Tribolium castaneum: one gene and its partner. Each later gene encodes a partner of the first gene's protein in a complex. Links are inferred from orthologs where the notes say so. Each region holds a gene or a part of one and is shown on either strand. Other genes may lie near its edges. The genes, in order: polybromo and Snr1.

The links.
Region 2: polybromo (region 1) and Snr1 share a complex: the UniProt entries of both Homo sapiens proteins name them as parts of the SWI/SNF-B (PBAF) chromatin remodeling complex. The link is inferred for Tribolium castaneum from reciprocal best matches to the Homo sapiens genes PBRM1 and SMARCB1.

Annotation. Positions count from the first base shown.
Region 1 is NC_087397.1:6,257,951-6,262,544, forward strand, and holds the start of polybromo (protein polybromo-1), read left to right. Parts: upstream 1-1,672; 5' UTR 1,673-1,814; intron 1,815-2,121; exon of another isoform or gene 2,122-2,143; 5' UTR 2,144-2,147; coding exon 2,148-2,273; intron 2,274-2,322; coding exon 2,323-2,633; intron 2,634-2,682; coding exon 2,683-3,121; intron 3,122-3,167; coding exon 3,168-3,344; intron 3,345-3,390; coding exon 3,391-3,681; intron 3,682-3,730; coding exon 3,731-3,826; intron 3,827-3,994; coding exon 3,995-4,165; intron 4,166-4,211; coding exon 4,212-4,519; intron 4,520-4,558; coding exon 4,559-4,594. Other genes in the region: Fdx1 (adrenodoxin-like protein 1, mitochondrial), read left to right, coding at 40-385; thioredoxin domain-containing protein, read right to left, coding at 456-615, 663-788, 836-997, 1,045-1,183, 1,236-1,421, 1,469-1,607. UniProt on the Homo sapiens protein: Involved in transcriptional activation and repression of select genes by chromatin remodeling (alteration of DNA-nucleosome topology). Required for the stability of the SWI/SNF chromatin remodeling complex SWI/SNF-B (PBAF).
Region 2 is NC_087401.1:13,705,375-13,709,988, reverse strand, and holds the start of Snr1 (SWI/SNF-related matrix-associated actin-dependent regulator of chromatin subfamily B member 1), read left to right. Parts: upstream 1-1,648; 5' UTR 1,649-1,874; coding exon 1,875-2,146; intron 2,147-2,193; coding exon 2,194-2,501; intron 2,502-4,562; coding exon 4,563-4,614. Other genes in the region: PIG-L (N-acetylglucosaminyl-phosphatidylinositol de-N-acetylase), read right to left, coding at 1-200.

The DNA of each region.
Region 1 (4,594 bases):
TCGCGCGGTTATATTACGTAAAATACACATTTTTTTCAGTGTTAACATAACTTTTGTTACAAAAGACGGTGAAAAGGTCCCTGTAAAGGGCAAAGTAGGTGATAATGTCCTATACTTGGCTCACAGATACAAAATTCCCATGGAAGGGGCCTGTGAGGCCTCCCTAGCATGTACCACTTGTCACGTTTATGTGAAAAGTGATCACGAACTTACGCCAGCTGAGGAAAAAGAAGAGGATTTGTTAGACATGGCGCCGTTTCTTAAAGAAAACTCTAGGTTAGGTTGTCAGATTATTTTAACCAAAGAATTAGAAGGGCTTGAGTTAGAATTGCCACAAGCAACGAGGAACTTTTACGTTGATGGCCACACACCAGCGCCTCATTAACCTTCTATTGTGTAAATAACGAGTTATGAAGTCAGCCACCAATTTATTTTAATAAAAAAGTGTTAAAAATTTATTTGTCTTTCTTGCTTGTCGGTTTTTGCGGCTTTTCAGTCTTACGACATTTCATTAAAATTATCAACAAGAAACCAACAACAGTCGCCGCTAAACCAATTTTCCACGCCATTGCGCTTTCCTTCAAATTAAGTACGATATTTTCGACAATATTATCACTGAAAAATTCCATTATAACACAAGAAGATAAATTGCAATTGCTTACAATGGCGTTTTAGGCGATGGTACTTTAATGGGAGTCACGTTTTTGTACCATTCTTGGGCAAAAGAAGTGAAAGACGCAACGTCGTACTTTTGGATTTGATATTTATACATTTTGCCTTGTCTGAAGCTAAAAAAATGTGTGAGAATTGAAACAAAATTGAGAAGTCAATTTACAGAATAAAAGTTGGGGCTTGGGAGACTCCAAATCGTGTGGCGGTAGCGGCCCCATCTGTCGCCTTATTGACTCGTGCGACGTTCATTCGTGTTTTTAATTGTGCCCCGACTGTCTCCCACCGGGCTTGAAGGCGGTGGCAATCGACACAGTCTGGGGTATAACTTTGAAAAAATTAAACAAAAATCTACAACCATTTAAAAAGACTTACAACATCACAAACCAGTCGCCTGTGGTAGCCCCACTGGCGGCCTGGGTTAAGTGTTCAAAAGTCTCATCGTTTAATTCCTTCACCACCGGTTCTTTATTGTTAACAAATGTGTGAAGAATTAGCTCTTCTGAAGGAATATCTAAAGCAAAATAAATGCGAATAAAATTGATTACGGTTAAATGTAGCAATACCATTATAAAGTAGAGGAATTCCATGTCTGAAAAACACCAAAACCGGCTCCTTCGTGGGGCTATACAGTCTTGTTAACTGGCTGTTAACGACTTTAACAGTCTCTCCTTCAAATGATTTAGAGAACTCTTCCTCCAAATTTGTTAAAATGTTTTCGAAGTTATCACAAAGTTCGCAATTTTTCGCAGCTGGAATTTTCGTTCAATCTTGATAGGAACGCAAAGTGGGGACTTACAAAACAGCGCAACCACATAAGTCTCACTTCTGATTAAGTTCATGAGATCATCATCCTGGATTGATTTTATTGCACCACAGTTACAAAAACTATTGAAAATAACGGACAGACACGACAAAATATACAAAAACCTACTCATTTTAGCTCAATAACCTCACATAACCCAAAACATTCAACAACACGAAAATCCCCCAGAATTGTCAACCATCAGCCATTTTGTTGACGAGTGATGCCGGTTTTTATTATCGATTTATGATTTGTGCACAAATGTGAAGTGCAAGGGTTTATTTGCAAAAACGGTGTGTTTTTGTGGACTTTTCCTTGTGTGATGATCAACTGAATCCAGGTTTGTCCAATTGCAACCATAATTAGCAGTTGTTTCATGATATTTGCCCAATTAGTGTAAGGCCATGACTGTATTAATTTTTACGGCCATTGATTGTGTTTTTCAATAATAAAAAATCAATTAACGAGATTTGACAATCGTACATTGTCAATAAGCTATTTCTGGCGCGTGTTTATGGTTACCGACGTCCGTGGTATTCCGTTTAGCGTTTGTTTACGACGTCATTTGACACAACAATTGGCGCTCATTTGAATTAAGACTTCTGTAATTTGATTTCTGTACGATTCACTACTTTAGTTAAATGTAGCCTTGGTTGAAAACCTTTTCAGCATAATGAGTAAAAGGCGTCGAACGAGTTCTATAGCCAGTAGGGGGCAAGAAGACGATTCTTTGGATAGTCTGGAGGCTTCGACTAGTACAGGACCTACGATGCGAAAGCGCAGCAAAAAACTAGATCCTGTAACAGGAAATTGCGAGTTTGTTCCACATTGTGACGCCTTGTTTTTAGATGGAACTTTGTCAACAATTGTACGATTCAATCCGCAATCACAAAAAAGACGACGGGACTCTTCTCTGCGATTCGTTTATTCGAGTACCGAAACGTAGACAAGAGCCCGGCTATTATGAGGTTGTTTCAAACCCGATCGATTTGTTGAAAGTGCAACAAAAACTGAAAACTGAGGAATATGAGGATATCGAGGATTTGCAGAACGATATCGAGTTAATTGTCAATAACACGAAAGCTTTCTATAAAAAGAATTCGCAGGAGTATCGCGACGCCATAGATTTGTGGGCCTTGTTTCTCTCTAACAAACACAAGTGAGTCCCGTTTTTAAATTAATTAACACTTAGCCATGTCTCAATTCAGACTACTTAATACCAAAGACGATGAACCCGAACCTAAGGGAAAAATCGTGTTAAAAGTCGGAAGACCGAGCAAAAAAGCCGGCACTCCGGTCGAAACCAAAGAACCTGAGCACTCTGAGGACACTTCAGAGAGTTCGAATTTCGACGACGATGTCAATTTATACGAGGAGCTGTTCACTTCAGTCATGACAGCGACCGATAATGAAAATCGGCCACTTCACACTTCTTTCCAGCTAATTCCCTCGAAGAAAAAATATCCCGAGTATTACGAAGTGATCGAACAACCCATCGATCTAAAAATGATTGCCACCAAAATCCAAACTAACGACTATTGCAGCTTGGCCGAGCTCGAGAAAGACTTGATGTTAATGTGCAAAAACGCCTGTTTGTTTAACGAACCCGGTTCGCAGATTTACAAAAACGCGAAAGCGCTGAAAAAGGTGAGAGCCGGGTTGTTTGTACCATTGACCCTTCAGTATTTTGTAGATAATTCAAAGTAAAAAAGCCGAGCTGGATCACATTAAATTAAGTTTGGGTAAAAGCAGCGAACGCATTAGGAATAAACGGTTAAGGGGCAGTACATCGCTATCTGCGGTCACTGCAGCCCTAAGGGACGACGAGTCGGACGCTGAGGTGGAACCAGAGGAACAGATGGACGATGAAGTAGCAAATCAAAGTGCAAAGTCGTTTTTTCAATGAATTGTTTCAGTCAATTGCTGATCCTCTTGATGTCGAAGATCCCCAGTGGCAATTGTTCGAGGCTGTGCGTTCAGTGACGAGTAATAGCGGAGTTTCCTTGAGCGAACCCTTCTGGAAATTGCCCTCGAAACGTTTCTATCCAGACTATTACCGCGAGATCAAAAACCCAGTCTCTTTGACTCAAATCAAACGAAAACTGACCAAGCACGCTTATGGCACCATAAGCGAAGTGGCCGGTGACATGACCATAATGTTTGAGAATGCGAAAAAGTATAACCTGCCGTCGTCAAGGTTGTATAAAGTGAGTTTGGTAACGTTTTCAACGTGAAATTTGAGCGAGTTTGTTCCAGGACGCTGTCAAGTTGCAAAAGGTCATGCAAATGAAAGTGCAAGAACTACTTGACATTGATCAGGTAACATACAGAGTCACTAACAAAAACCGGAAGGTATGCTACTGCACTGCTTATGTCTTCATTGCATTTATTAACTGTCGGGAGTTATTCATTTTGTGGGCGCTTACGTTGCTAACATCAGTCGGCTTGTTTCACTATTTTCCTAATCAGGCGTTTGAGTTGATGGTAATTGTTTAAATTTTTGTCTTTTTCAATCTTCAGGATACAGACAGTGAGGCAGATTCCGAAGTCGTTGTGCGCAAAAAGCCAGGACCTAAGCCAAAAAATACGCAATCGAGTGGCAGCACGCCACAAAGAGGGCGTCCACCGCGAGACCCAATCCCGCTAAAAAAACGTTTGCACGCTTTAGCGAAATATATGCTCGACTATACTGTCAGTTACACGTTTTGCAATTTTTTTTCTATTAGCCATTTTTCAGTGTGAGGATGGCCGAAAGCCCATGCTCGGCTTTATGGAAAAACCCTCGAAAAAATTGTATTCGGAATATTACGAAGTCATTTCGGAACCGATCGATTTCCTCGAAATTGAGCAAAAAATTCGCGCCGATCAGTACAGCTCCGAGAGTGACTTAGTCAAAGATTTTAAGCTCATGTTTTCGAACTGCCGACAGTTTAACGAGGAAAATTCGCCAATTTACGAGGATTCCCTCGTTTTGGAAAAACATCTGTTGGATAAAGTTGGGCATAGTGTCACTCCGGAAAAGAAGGAAAAAACCGTAGTCAGAGTGTACGTTTCCGGCTGAAAAATAAAAAAATAACAGTTTAGTTGCAGTGTTAAACCGCGCAAAATTCTCTCGCCGGT
Region 2 (4,614 bases), on another chromosome or scaffold:
GGGTTTTTTACGTCTTTTTTGAAGTGGATTATCTTCCAGCGAGAGATGGAAAGGTACAAAAACACGCATACTATGATGTACACGGACACGGCTACGATTAAATGCTCCACGGTTTCTTTCGTGTATTCCTGGACTCGAACGGTTAGATTCTTCCAAGAGGCTGAGACGAGGGACACCAACGATTCGAAACCTAGACTCATGCCAAGGCGCTGCTTGGCTCATCTCAGTCATGAAGTCACGCTCGAAATAGATTTACCGAGCATTTGCGGTATTTTTAGATTTTCTGGCGGAGAAATTGGCACAGGGCATAATTTTGAGGTTAGGTTGACGTCCCCATTTCTAGGGATTTTTATCTGTCACTAGCATTCCCAAGCGGGAATTCTGGTCACCAACAGAAAATCAACGACAGAAAAGACATTTCTAGAAACATTCACGTTTCTAGAATTTTACATTTTTAAATTAATACCACTAATAGTCTTCATAATTGTAAAACTAATGGTACTTTTCATTTTTTTATGTTCGTAAAAATAAAAAAGTTATGAGACCTCAAAGTCTCTCTAGGTGTGACGTCGGGCGGCACAATTGACTCAGCTGGTTAAAATTAACATGTTTCCAAAATTATTTCGCTGTTCCTCAATTTTTTCCATTTAGCTATTGCAGTCCTATATCTTTTATGAATGTTTAATGAACTATAACTAAATAAAATAAATAAAATTCAGAAATCTCACGTTATAAAACCGTTGGATATCAAAAAATGAGAACAAGACATCTTTAGAAAAACAAGAGAATCGTAATTTCATATCTTTGAAAACACTAGGTTTATAATTATAAACCACATCTACTTATTCATCGAACGTATCTTCAAAAGCATTAACAAATAAAGAAATTGTATTTCTGTAAATAACAAGTCGTTTGTAGAACACTTATTTTTTTACATATTTTTTTTTGTACAAAACATTCTGCAAGCATCGCTTGTTCTATAAATCATAAAAATTTCCATTAGTTAATGTTTTTAGTTTTTTTTAAATAAAATAATATTTTATTAATATAAATATTTCTCATTAATTAATATTTATTATTTATAAGAAATTGTAGAAAAAATCTGATAAAATTCGAAGGCTTACAGAAAGAAATAAAGCAAAAAAAATCACAAACGCTGATTTTTGTGTGATTATTTAAATGGATTATTATTGGTTATTAGTGATTCATTACAGTATCTCCTTAAACAAATTACTTCAATTATCACAAATAACACTTTCTTTCAATATTTATATCTTTTAAGTCAATAAAATTATCCGGAGATCTCAATACAATGCCGAAAGGAACAGTAGTGTGTAAATCGCCGTAAATGACCCAATACTTAACAGTTTTTGATTACGCAATAGATTAAATAACTCTTTGTAATCAAAAATCTTTTTCACTTTTTTATCAAAGTCCAACATAAAACACTTTATAATCACGAAAAAACGCAAAACCAAAGGCAACACTAGTATTTACCGGCATATAATTTTAAATTGACTCTCTCTAATGTAAAAAATTAACAGTACACACGCAGAATTGCTAAATAATCCATTAAATGAGCAATTACCAAAACTTGTTACTGTTTTCGGCAAGTACGACATGTCGTCACCAGAGGACGCCTAGTTAATGCATTTCTGGTGATTTCAGTTTTGTCAATTAGACTAGCCACCAAAAGTGTTTTTTTACGAATTGTTTGAATTAATTAACCCCAAGTACCATCTCGTGCAAAACCAAACGAAATAATGTGAATCGTGTCCTTGCTTTGTGTAATTTATGCCCGTATTTTCCATTTGAGTGCCCTGTTGACATTTGTTGGTGTCACCTAACCTCACAGTGTTAAAGGACGCGGCAAAATGGCCCTCCGAACATTCGGTGAAAAACCGATAACTTTCCAATTGGAGGAAAATGGGGAGTATTACTGTGTGGGCTCCGAGGTGGGGAACTACCTGCGCCTGTTCCGGGGTTCCCTCTACAAGAAATACCCCGGAATGTACCGCAGGTCAATCACAAACGAGGAACGCAAACGCCTCATCGAGCTGGGCTTGAGCCAGCACGTTCTGGCCAGCAGTGTCTCACTGCTTCGGGCCTCGGAAGTCGAGGATATCATTGAGGGAAATGACGAAAAGTTGGTTTGTTTTTTGGGGGTTTTGTTGTTATTTGTTGATTATTTAGGTATAAGGCTGTTTCGGTGCACACTTCGGACCCGCCGATGCCGAGGGAGAGTAAATCGAAGAAGTCGATGCAATGGGTGCCCTCACTCCCAAACTCCAGTCATTTGGACGCTGTGCCCCAAGCCACCCCGATTAATCGGAACAGAGTGGCGGCGAAGAAAGTTCGGACGTTTCCGTTATGTTTTGATGATACTGATCCAGAGCTGAATATGCAAAATGCGGCACAAGGGGAGTTGTTGGTCCCGATAAGGCTGGATATGGAAATTGAGGGGCAGAAGCTGAGAGACACTTTCACGTGGAATAAAAACGGTAATTTTTTGGGTTTTTCTAATCACAGTACGCTCTGCATTTGAAATAAAGTTGTAACTTTTACATTATTTATTCTTATCAACTTATTTTCGAATACTTATTAGCGCATTTTGATCTGAAATTTAATTCTTGAATAATTTTTAAACCTGCCACCAGTCATTTAAACTAATCAAGATTGCGTGATACGAGAAAAATATGTTGGCAATGACTGTAGTCTAGTAACTAAGGTTACATCTGTTATCTAAATTGACACCATATTGTTGATACTGGGTCCTGATTATTAACTACAAACTTGTAGTAAATGATAAATTTTTTGATAAAACGCATTTTTAAACACTTTTAATATGATTTATAACTTTTTTTGAGTTTAATTTAATTAAAACACGTCAAAAGATCATCTAAATATGTCGAAAATGACCTGAATTTGACACTCTTTAAAAACAGTTCCAATTAGATTAAAGTGTATGTTTTCTTTAAAGTGACTTTGCTTTTTTGTTGAAGCAAAACTTCATAAAAACGCTAAAAAATCATCTAAATATGTTGAGTAATAGCGTTATTTCCAGATTATTTTGCCTTTTTTTTATTAAACTTATCTTGTTTTTGAGTATGAGACTTACTTGTTCTTGAAAGTTTTGTCAAAAAATGACTAAATTAGGTCGAAATTGACGTTTTCTTCAGTAGTGATTTGGACACATTTCGTGAAAATGCACCGAAAAATCATCTAAATATGTCAAAACTTATGTCATTTTGACAATGTTTTCTCTTTTTTGAAAACTTTTTTTTTATTAAATACCCCGAAAAATATCTAAATATATCGAAAGTTACGGTTGGTTCGACATTATTTTAGTTTTTGTCGTTAGATTTATTTTTTTTAGCGAGAAACTGACTTTTTTGTAAAATTTTGTCAAAAATAAGCAAATTGAGATAAAATTGACGTCCTAGTTTTAAGAATTTCTGGTAGGTTTATTTGTTTTGGAGCCAGGAACTGCAAAGTTTCGTGACAGAATTAATCAAATGTAATGTTTTTTTTAACAGCTTAATTTCTTAAAATAATCTAGCTTTGTTTTTATACGAAATTGCATTAAAATGCGCCGAAAAATTTACTTTCATATTTTTCTTGCCTTTTTCATTAAGTAAGTAAGTAAGTTTTTGAGCGAAAATCTCCATTGTTTTGAAGAATTTTGTCAAAAAGCCAATTTAAATAAAAATTGAGGTGCTTTTTCAGTCTATTTAATATATTATTATTTATTAATTATTCTAACCAACTGTATTTCTGTTGAAAAATGTACTAAACACGCTCAAAAATGTAAAATAATTGAGTTTTAAGTTTAAAATGGTGATAAAACTCCCAAAAAATGCAAAATTATCACCATTTTTGACGCAGGTTAGTGACTTTTCGGCTTATTTTTGAGAAATTTAATAATAATAAAAGTGTTTTATTCTCCCATTTTTGTTATTTGATAATTGTAGAGTGGGCCCAAGTCCCAAACCTTTGTTTTTATCTATAGCCGACCTAATTTAAAGTTTAGACCAAGTAAATACCAACTCAAGAAAAAAAAAACTTTTTTTTTTTTTCAGAAGTTTCGTTTTTTCTTCTGTCTTTTTGTTTTTTAGTTCGAACATGTATTTGACTGTCATCCTTCATCATCAACAGAGTATTTTTTTTAATTACACAATATTTTGTGCATTGTTGTTAGTTTCGTAGTTTTTTTATTTTTATTATTTTTATATTTGTTGAAATCGGGATATTAGAAATTATATTTAGGGTTTCAATTACCAACTGTTAAACTTTTATAAAAAAAATTTAACAAGACGAAAATACAAAACAACCGTTGGGTATTTTTGAGAGACGATTTTTTAAAATAAAAAAAATAAAAAAAAATTGTATAAAAAATAATGTTTGGTGCTTTTGAGCGACTAGTTTTTGGTTTTTTTTTCAATATCAAAAAAATCAGCAAACGTAACTTTAGTCACTTATATAGTTATTGACAACGTATATCTCGCAACTCGATTCAGTTTATGCAAATTATTAGCATTAACAAAAATCATATCACAATTTAGAGAGTCTCATCACCCCCGAACAATTCGCCGAAGTCCTCTGCGACGACCTAGA